2 linked regions of the Macaca fascicularis genome follow. The main gene of each other region encodes a partner of the protein of the gene in region 2 in a complex. Links are inferred from orthologs where the notes say so. Each region holds a gene or a part of one and is shown on either strand. Other genes may lie near its edges.

Evidence for each region. Proteins that work in one complex are often made in the same cells at the same time.
Region 1: ERC1 (region 2) and liprin-beta-1 share a complex: the UniProt entries of both Homo sapiens proteins name them as parts of the cortical microtubule stabilization complex. The link is inferred for Macaca fascicularis from reciprocal best matches to the Homo sapiens genes ERC1 and PPFIBP1.

Annotation. Positions count from the first base shown.
Region 1 is NC_088385.1:30,423,805-30,428,409, forward strand, and holds part of liprin-beta-1, read left to right. Parts: coding exon 1-125; intron 126-418; coding exon 419-547; intron 548-2,031; coding exon 2,032-2,182; intron 2,183-2,864; coding exon 2,865-2,976; intron 2,977-3,092; coding exon 3,093-3,181; intron 3,182-4,605. UniProt on the Homo sapiens protein: May regulate the disassembly of focal adhesions. Did not bind receptor-like tyrosine phosphatases type 2A.
Region 2 is NC_088385.1:1,802,492-1,807,884, forward strand, and holds the start of ERC1 (ELKS/Rab6-interacting/CAST family member 1), read left to right. Parts: upstream 1-2,115; 5' UTR 2,116-2,215; coding exon 2,216-2,884; intron 2,885-5,393. Other genes in the region: uncharacterized protein, read left to right, coding at 2,064-2,115. UniProt on the Homo sapiens protein: Regulatory subunit of the IKK complex. Probably recruits IkappaBalpha/NFKBIA to the complex. May be involved in the organization of the cytomatrix at the nerve terminals active zone (CAZ) which regulates neurotransmitter release.

The DNA.
Region 1 (4,605 bases), about 29 Mb from region 2:
CACCTAGATCTGGCTGGTGCTTCTTCTCGGCCAAAAGATTCACAGAGGAACAGTCCCTTCCAGATACCACCTCCATCTCCAGATTCCAAAAAGAAATCCAGAGGTATCATGAAACTCTTTGGAAAGTAAGTAAAGCAGTGAACAAGTAGAGTGGGCCCTGTCTTACATGTTGCTTAAAGTGGCTGGAAATGGGTATGGACTTGTAAGGCCTTTGTATTCCTCTTATGGAAGGAAGTTTGGATTATGATGTGGGATTTATTAACTCATTGGGTCTTAGTTAAAGTTTAAATTTAAATGTCTATGTTAATGACACAAAGAAGATTAGTTCCGGTAGCTGCACTAGTTAAAAATTCTCTGATTAACAAGCCTAAGGCCTCCTCAGGTCTAATACTGGCCATGTGTGTTATGTCTTCTTCAGACTTAGGAGAAGTCAATCAACTACATTCAACCCAGATGACATGTCTGAGCCTGAATTCAAAAGAGGAGGGACAAGGGCAACCGCGGGACCCCGACTGGGTTGGTCTCGAGACTTGGGACAGTCTAACAAGTAAGAAGAGCCAACTGATAGACTTTTGCATCTCTGCCAAGCATCATAGCCTCATGAGTCCTGCAGTGTTAGTACTGTCATTGGGTTAAACAAAGTCATTGCTTAATGCTGTGCCTAGTGAAAGGGGACATCATCTTTAGAGCAGTGCAATTTGTCAATGGTTGATGAACATACAGAAGGTGAGGGCTGTGTGAACTAGGGGAGAGGCCAGAGCTAAAGTGTCAGCAGCATCTGTGTTAGAATGGCTCTGAAACTTAAATTTTACATAGACGGTAATTATAAGTACTCTAAAGCATAGCTTTGGAAAGATGGGATATTTACATGAGAGTATGTTCTAGATCAGACCACTTGGATTTGCTTTCTGGCCTTACCACTTTCTACCAGCTGGGTGACCTTGAGCAACAGCTTCCAGGCCCTGTGTCTCAGTTTTCTCATCATTCATAATTAGTGCCTACTCCAAAAGCTGATTGTGAAGATTAAGTAAGTTAGTATGTGTTAAATATTTGGCAGATAGTAACTACTCAAGAAACATTAGTATATAACAGAATCTATGAAAGTACTTAGAGACAAAAATTCTATCAGAATCCTTATATTTATCAGGACTATATAATATTTTATCCATTAAGATTCTAAGAACTGCTCTGACACTCTTACCAAAGTTGAGGGCTGGCTTAGAACTGCTACATTGACTCACTGTGTATAAAAGGGTGGGGTTGGCAAACATAAAGTACAAGGCATTGATACCAAATATTTTAACAGTATAATAGACTAGAAACCCTTTAAATACAGCCCCTCCCATACAGGTGGAACACTGGACATAGGTTACATCAAGGAGGAAACCCTCTTTGGCCTTCTTCAAATACCAAACAGTTTCATTTGCCATATGTTGTCTTTGAACACAGTAGAGCTCCTTGTGCTATTTAAAAAAAGCACATTCATCTTCCCCTCCGCACCCTGTCCCCACCGCGGAACAAGAACACTATCTGTGTATCTTAAGTAAAAGAAAACAGGAATTTTGCTTTGATTGTTTCCTACACTTAGTGACAACATATTGCCCTCTTCTAATTGGTTACCATATGGAAATAAACCATAATTCTGCTAAAGTTAGTTCAAATTAGACTTAAGTTTCTTTCACTCCAACTGAGTTTCCTGTTTGGGAATCCAGTCTTCAGACAACATTGGTTGAAACTGATACAGTGACTTACGTTTTTCCAATTTAGTCTTTTTCTGTAGAACTTGTTCTTGCTCTGTCACATTAAATCTTTTGTGGTTTCATTTGAAATGAGACAGTGGTCTTAGAAGATAACTTTCAACTCCAGTACCAGTTGTTCCTCCAATGTATACTAAAAATTAAGCTTTTCGTGGTCAAATGTGTATCACCAGGGAATGTCCATGTCTATTGAATGTATAGTTGTTTAAAACTCATGATAAGCCACAGGATTGGCTTTGGATTATTTTTCATGCAATTACTCATTTTCCTGTAGTGACTTGGATATGCCATTTGCCAAGTGGACCAAGGAGCAGGTTTGCAATTGGCTGATGGAACAGGGCTTGGGCTCCTACCTGAATTCTGGCAAGCACTGGATTGCATCTGGCCAAACGCTTTTGCAGGCTTCTCAACAAGATCTAGAGAAGGTGACTGCTTCTCTATTTTGTTCACACAATGGATACTGAGAAGAAGACAATGTGAATGTAGGGTTGTTTTATAGTCCAGAAAAGGCCATGAGTGAAGCCAGTAAATACTCTCTAAATAAAAATTTGGGTTTTCAATTGCTTCATGCTTATTTTTTTCTGATGGTCTTGGGAGGACCTGGTCTTGATGATTCCTTATGGAACACTTAAGCCATTGGGCATTTTAATGAAAAATAATTACATAAGCATAATTAAGTTCATATTTCTTGAAATCATTATATGGCTTTATCATTGGCCTATTTTCTCAGTGTAATATATGCAATGCACTTTGCAAAAGGAAAAAAAAGCACCCTACAATTTATGTCTAATTATTTAACATTTCTTCACAATTATTTAATATTTTGCACAAAATAAGGGTCAAATTCTTTTTATGCATGCTACAGTTCCTAGCTTACAAAGAAAAGGAGTCACTAGGGAATGCCTAACACGCCCCTAAGCTAATTGTGGTGGTCTTGGCTTTTCAGGGACCTTCGTTCAACAGCACTTTACTAGCGCAAGTTAGGATTGTCATTTAGTATTGAATTGGATCTTTAGTGCTAGCTTCATTTTGGAGAAATTTGCATCCTTTGCCAGTGGCACCCAGCCTATATAGATAGAATTATAAAGTCAATGTTTATTGTTTCAGGAACTTGGAATCAAGCATTCACTTCATCGAAAGAAACTCCAGCTGGCACTCCAAGCCCTGGGATCTGAAGAAGAAACCAATCACGGGAAGCTGGATTTCAACTGGGTCACTAGTAAGAAGTTTTTATTCTAACAAAATGGAAGAATTATATACAGAGCTGCTTTTTCTTTTTAATCACAAGAACAGGTGTTTTGTGGCACGGTAGCAACACTGGCCTCTCTCTTTTAGGATGGTTGGATGACATTGGCCTCCCTCAATATAAGACCCAGTTTGATGAAGGACGGGTTGATGGTCGAATGCTACATTACATGACTGTTGTAAGTGACTCACTCCTGGGGTTTGGGGGAAGAAAACTTTTTTCTCGAAAAATGCAGAAATTGAGTAAGCCAAACACAGTGTAGTGATTACACCAGAGTTTGAAGCTGTTGCTTGAACTTGAGGAGAGTGGCGGGCATATTTCCTGTGAAGTTGAAGTTGTAGCATTTGGTGATTGTGACTGAACAGCCTTGGGATAATTTGAAACCCCAATTTAAGCTAAGTGAAGCCTAATTTAAACTAAGCTCTCCAGAAAGTTGATTTTATATGTAATACATTCAACAATGTAAACACTGAAGTGTATACTTTGAATGGGTACATTTTATGGTATGTAAATTATATCTCATAAAAATATATATATATATTTTTTTATTTCTTTTGAGATGGAGTCTTGCACGGTCGCCCAGGCTGGAGTGCAATGGCACAATCTCAGCTCACTGCAAGCTCCACCTCCCAGGTTCAAGCCATCCTCATGCCTCAGCCTCTTGAGTAGCTGGGACTACAGGCCCATGCCACCATACCCAGCTAATTTTTTTGTAGTTTTAGTAGAGACGGAGTTTCGCCACGTTGGCTAGCTGGTCTCAAACTTCTGACCTCAAGTGACCTGCCTGCCTCGGCCTCCCAAAGTGCTGGGATTATAGGCATGAGCCACCACGCCCAGCCCAAAGATATTTTTTAAATAGAATATAGAGTTTTTAAGCCCAAGCTGTTTCTAAGTTATGCGTTTCTATGTGCAGTGACCATTTGGAAGAGCCCACCCTTTTGACCTGACATCTTCCAGGACTTGTCTTCTCCCTACCTTTCCACTCTGGACAACTGTTACCTGAAACCCTATCACCCGTCTCACTTCAGCCCGGTTCTGCTACAGCAGGAGTTAACTGGGGTTAAAGGAGGCGGGAGGAAGGCTAGACTTCCACTCTGGTTCCTTCATTATGGTACATTTCTAGCCTTCCAGCCAGTGTGTAGGACTATTCCCTGCTTGACAGCAGTGGGAAAGATGGATTCCAGGAGAACTTTGTTTTAGGTTCCATACCACTATTAATATTCTACTTAAAATTCTCTTATTTTATTTTTTTTTTAATTTATTTTTAATTTTTTTATTTTTGAGATGGAGTCTTGCTCTGTCGCCCAGGCTGGAGTGCAGTGGCGTGATCTGGGCTCACTGCAAGCTCCCCTTCCTTCCTGGGTTCACGCCATTCTCTTGCCTCAGCCTCCCGAGTAGCCGGGACTACAGGCACCCGCCACCAATGCCCGGCTAATTTTTTGTGTTTTTAATAGAGATGGGGTTTCACCGTGTTAGCCAGGATGGTCTCCATCTCCTGACCTCATTATCCACCCGCTTCAGCCTCCCAAAGTGCTGGGATTACAGGCGTGAGCCACCGCGCCCAACCATGTTCTACTTAAAATTCTTTTATTCATTTGTTTA
Region 2 (5,393 bases):
TTAAGCCTCATTTATTGAGTGATTTTTCATTTCCTCACTATTAGTCTGTTCTCATGCTGCTAATACAGACATACCCAAGACTAGGTAATTTTAAAAGGAAAAATTTTTTTTTTTTTTAAATTTAGACGGAGTCTCGCTCTTGTCACCCAGGCTGGAGTGCAGTGGCACGATCTTGGCTCACTGCAGTGTCCGCCACCTGGGTTCAAGCTTCTCATGCCTCAGCCTCCTGAGTAGCTGGAATTTCAGGCACCTGCCACCATGCTTGGTTAATTTTTGTGCTTTTAGTGAGATGGGGTTTCGCCATGTTGATCGGGTTGGTCTCGAACTCCTGACGTCAGGTGATATACCCTCCTTGGCCTCCCAAAGTGCTGAGATTACAGATGTGAGCCACCGCACCCTACCAGGAAAGAGGTTTAATGGACTCTCAGTTCCATATGGCTGGGGAGACCTCACAATCATGGCAGAAGGCGAATGAGGAGCAAAATTATGTCTTACATGGCGACAGGCAAGAGAACTTGTACAGGGGAACTCCCATTTATAAAACTATCAGATCCCATGAGACTTACTACCGCAAGAACAGTAGGGGTAAACCGCTCCCATGATTCAGTTAAGTACACCTTGCCCCACCCTTGACACAGGAAGATTATTACAATTCAAGGTGACATTTGGGTGGGGACACAGCCAAACTATATCACTCACTGTTTTGAAATATTACTTTTAACATATATTAAATTTCCGTATATAATTTAGACCCTGTTTTTGGGCTAGTACTATACAGTTTTCATTACTATAGTTTTACAAGGCTACAATACTTTATGAGAAACCTTGCAGGTCAGATGTGATTTTGTAGTCAGGAATTTTTTCCAGTAATACTTGGTGGGCATTATGTAGTATCCAGTAATCACACACATTGTTTTCTTAATGAAATGTATGAAGTCACACTATGTGGGATACATATAAACAGTAAGTAAGCTCGGGTCAGGTCCAGTTTTGCTGCTAGATGAGTTAAAAGGAAAAACTTATTTTCAGAGCTTTTTTGATTTTTGCAGTACAAATAAAGAATTACGGATTTGTAATTTATCTTGCTGTTGAGGGCTGTTTTCCTTCTTTGTTCATCTGTTTTAAATTGTTTGGTTACTCTTGTATCTTTACTCTCCATTTGAATTTTAGAGTCAGTTTGTCGAGTTACTTGAAAAATCCTTCAACACCTGTGAAAGGAAGGGATCTACAGCTGGTTAGCAAAATCCTGTAGAGATTTTTCATTGGGATTGTGCTAACTAGTTGGGGAAGAACTGAATCTTAACAGTGTTTGTCTTCTCGTCCATGAACACAGTTAACTTTTCTTTTGTTTAGATGTTCTTTTATGTCTTTCAGTAAGGTTTTAGTTTTTTTCCCCCAAAATGCTTGTACATTTTTGTTGATTTATATCAAAGTGCTTTTATGGTTTTGCTGCTGTTGTGAATAGGATTTAAAATTTCTTTTAAATTAAAAACTGCATTTTCTAGTTGTTACTGTTGATTTATACATGAAAATATTGAAATTATATTGATATTGAGTCTGACCAGTTTGTTGAGTTCTGTTATTCTAATAACTTATCAGTTGATTATCTTGGGTTTTCAGTTAGAAAATCATATATTCAGACATTGATTTTAATCTTTTCCTTGTCAGTCTTTATACTTCTTGTTTTTTTTTCTTTTTCTTTTTCGTAGAGACAGGGTCTTGCTATGTATCCCAGGTTGGTCTTGAACTCCTGGCCTCAAGCGATCTTCCTACCTTGGCCTCCCAAAGTGCTGGGATTATAGGCATGAGCCATTGCACCTGGCACTTTTTGTTTGTTTGTTTTCCAGTTGCATGGTATGTTTTCAGCATTCAGTTTTGAGACATCTAAAATATCTCTAAAATATTGTTTACTATGAAGTACCTTATGCTGTAATCACATTCTGAATGCCTGAGTAAATACATGGTAGAAGGGCTAGATCTTCTTTAAGTGGGGGTAGTGGAACGTTTCTGAGAAGGGAAATATTTATTATTGGAGGATTTAATGTGTGATCTTTTCGTTACAGATATGATGTAAGATACTTCTTCAAGATTGGACAGCTGGGGACCTTCTTCTAATTAACCTTAAACCGACTTACAGCCATAGAGACACCTCACAAAGTTCCCATTTTTCGTTGTTGTTGATTTTTTGCTTTACACCTTTTCTGACCTTGCAACCATGTATGGAAGTGCCCGCTCTGTTGGGAAGGTGGAACCGAGCAACCAGAGCCCTGGGCGTTCACCCAGGCTTCCACGTTCCCCTCGCTTGGGTCATCGTCGAACCAATAGTACAGGAGGGAGTTCGGGAAGCAGTGTTGGAGGTGGCAGTGGGAAAACCCTTTCTATGGAAAATATACAGTCTTTAAATGCTGCCTATGCCACCTCTGGCCCTATGTATCTAAGTGACCATGAAAATGTGGGTTCAGAAACACCTAAAAGCACCATGACACTTGGCCGTTCTGGGGGACGTCTGCCTTACGGTGTTCGGATGACTGCTATGGGCAGTAGCCCCAACATAGCTAGCAGTGGGGTTGCCAGTGACACCATAGCGTTTGGAGAGCATCACCTCCCTCCTGTGAGTATGGCATCCACTGTGCCTCACTCCCTTCGTCAGGCGAGAGATAACACAATCATGGATCTGCAGACACAGCTGAAGGAAGTATTAAGGGAAAATGATCTCTTGCGGAAGGATGTGGAAGTAAAGGAGAGCAAATTGAGTTCTTCAATGAATAGCATCAAGACCTTCTGGAGCCCAGAGCTGAAGAAAGAACGAGCCCTGAGAAAAGACGAAGCTTCCAAAATCACCATTTGGAAGGAACAGTACAGAGTTGTACAGGAGGAGAACCAGGTAAGTTCTACGTGTGTGTTTAACTGTATTGGCTGAATTCATGTATGTAAATGAAATAGCCTTTTTTTTCCCTTTTCCTAGATTCTTCCCTTCGTAGTATATGTATCTTCCTTTTTCCTATTTATTTTACTATTTTGTGTCCTCCATTTCTCAGCCCTTTCCAAATTTGGTCCTGTGCCCTGTTTTTTTTTCTAGTTGCCCATGTCTGCTTGCTTCCATTCTTGCTTGGTTCTTTTCTCTGGTTTCTGTTTCTCTTCGTGTCTTTCCTTTCAGCATATGTGATTTTTTTTTTTTAAATTCTTCTGAGGTTTTAATTTTGCCACACACTGTAATATCTTTTACCAAATGTATTTAGACTAGGTAACTTAAGTGTAAGGTATACCATTAAGATTTGTCATGATGTCAAAAAGTCATTCTTAAAAACAAAACAAAATGACTATCACAAGATAAATCAGTGTTGTCAGCTGAGAACAGAAATTACTTTTAAAGAGTTAATATTGGCCGGGTGTGGTGGCTCACACCTGTAATTCCAGCACTTGGGAGGCCGAGGTGGGCAGATCATTGAGGTCAGGAGTTTGAGACCAGCCTGGCAACATCGTGAAACCTCGACTCTACTAAAAATACAAAAATTAGCCAGGTGTGATGGTGTGTACCTGTAATCCCAGCTTCTAAGGAGGCTGAGGCAGGAGAATCACCTGAACCTGGGAGGCGGAGGTTGCAGTGAGCTGAGATCCTGCCACTGCACTCCAGTCTGGGGTGACACCATGAGACTCTGTCTCAAAAAAAAAGAGTTAATGTTGATGATGTGTTTATTAAGTATGAACAATAACTATCCATTTTGTTGCCATTCATGAAAGTTTACCTTCAGGATGCTTTTGTAGCTTTTTGTTCTTTAATTCTTTACATTTAAGGCAGAGGAAAGGCGACCTGGTGTGATTGTTTGCTTGTAGAAAATAAGTGAGATGATTGGGCTTTATCATCATGGGGCTTTGCAGTTTGAGAGCTAAGTGCCGTCACATTAGCTGCAGGAAATACTCACTTATTTTTCTGTGCTCCTCCAGGTTACAGTTGATGTGTTTGGTGATAGCCATGTCACATTCAGTGAGGAAGCCGATGACTCCAAAGATGTGAACAAATCGTATTCAGGCTCTACCAGTTAAAATGTTAAACATACTTTTTTGTTTTTGTTTTTTTTGAGACAGAGTCTTGCTGTGTCTCCCAGGCTAGAATGCAGTGACACAGTCTTGGCTCACCGCAACCTCCACCTCCCAGGTTCAAGTGATTCTCCTGTCTCAGACTCCTAAGTAGCTGGGATTGCAGGTGCCTGCTCCCATGCCCGGCTAATTTTTGTATTTTTATTAGAGACGGGGTTTCACTGTGTTGGCCAGGCTGATCTCAAACTCTTGACCTCAGGTGATCCACCTGCCTCGGCCTCCCGAAGTGCTGGGATTATAGGTGTGAGCCACCATGCCCGGCCCATACTTTTTGTTTAAAAGACTTTTAGAATTTTTCTCTCTTTACTTTTTTTCCCCCTATGGTGCAAGTTGTGTGTACTTTTAGAAGTTTTCTTAAACTTGCAAGCTTGAATTTTTTTCCTTCTTAAAAAAGCTGTCTTATACTCTTAAAAGGAGAATATTTAATTAACTACCTCATTGTTGGTATTACACTTTATTTTTGGATTAGGTTACTCAAAATTATAAAGAAAGCAATTGAAGCCGGGCGCGGTGGCTCAAGCCTGTAATCCCAGCACTTTGGGAGGCCGAGGCGGGTGGATCACGAGGTCAGGAGATCGAGACTATCCTGGCTAACATGGTGAAACCCCGTCTCTACTAAAAATACAGAAAACTAGCCAGGCGTGGTGGCGGGCACCTGTAGTCTCAGCTACTTGGGAGGCTGAGGCGGGAGAATGGCGTAAACCCGGGAGGCGGAGCTTGCAGTGAGCCGAGATCACGCCACTGCACTCCAGCCTGGGAGACACAGCGAGCAATTGATATCAATTTCTGCATTCTTCTTAAATGATACCAAGAAGTAAAGAAGCAATCAGAAATTGTCTGTGTCTCTGATGAAGGAGTCGTCTGCCACACAAAGCTGTTTAGGTCCCTGATGGACCTAATGTGTGACTATGGTCCCATAAGGTTACAATATAGTATTACCAGGTGTGGTAGCTCGCACCTGTACTCCCAGCACTTTGTGAGGCTAAGGGGGTGCGGATTGGTTGAGTCCAGGAGTTCGAGACCAGCCTGGGCAAAATGGTGAAACCCTGTCTCTGCAAAAAATAGAAAAAAATTAGCTGGGTTTGGTGGTGGGCACCTGTACTACTTGGGAGGCTCAGGCAGGAGGATCACCTGAGCCTGGGAGGTCGAGGCCACAGTGAGTCGAGATTGGGCCACTGTACTCCAGCCTGGGTGACAGAGTGAGACCCTGTCTCTAAAAACAAAACAAAGATTATAATACAGTGTCTTCACTGTATCTTTTCTATGTTTAGATGTGTTTAGATACACAAATATTT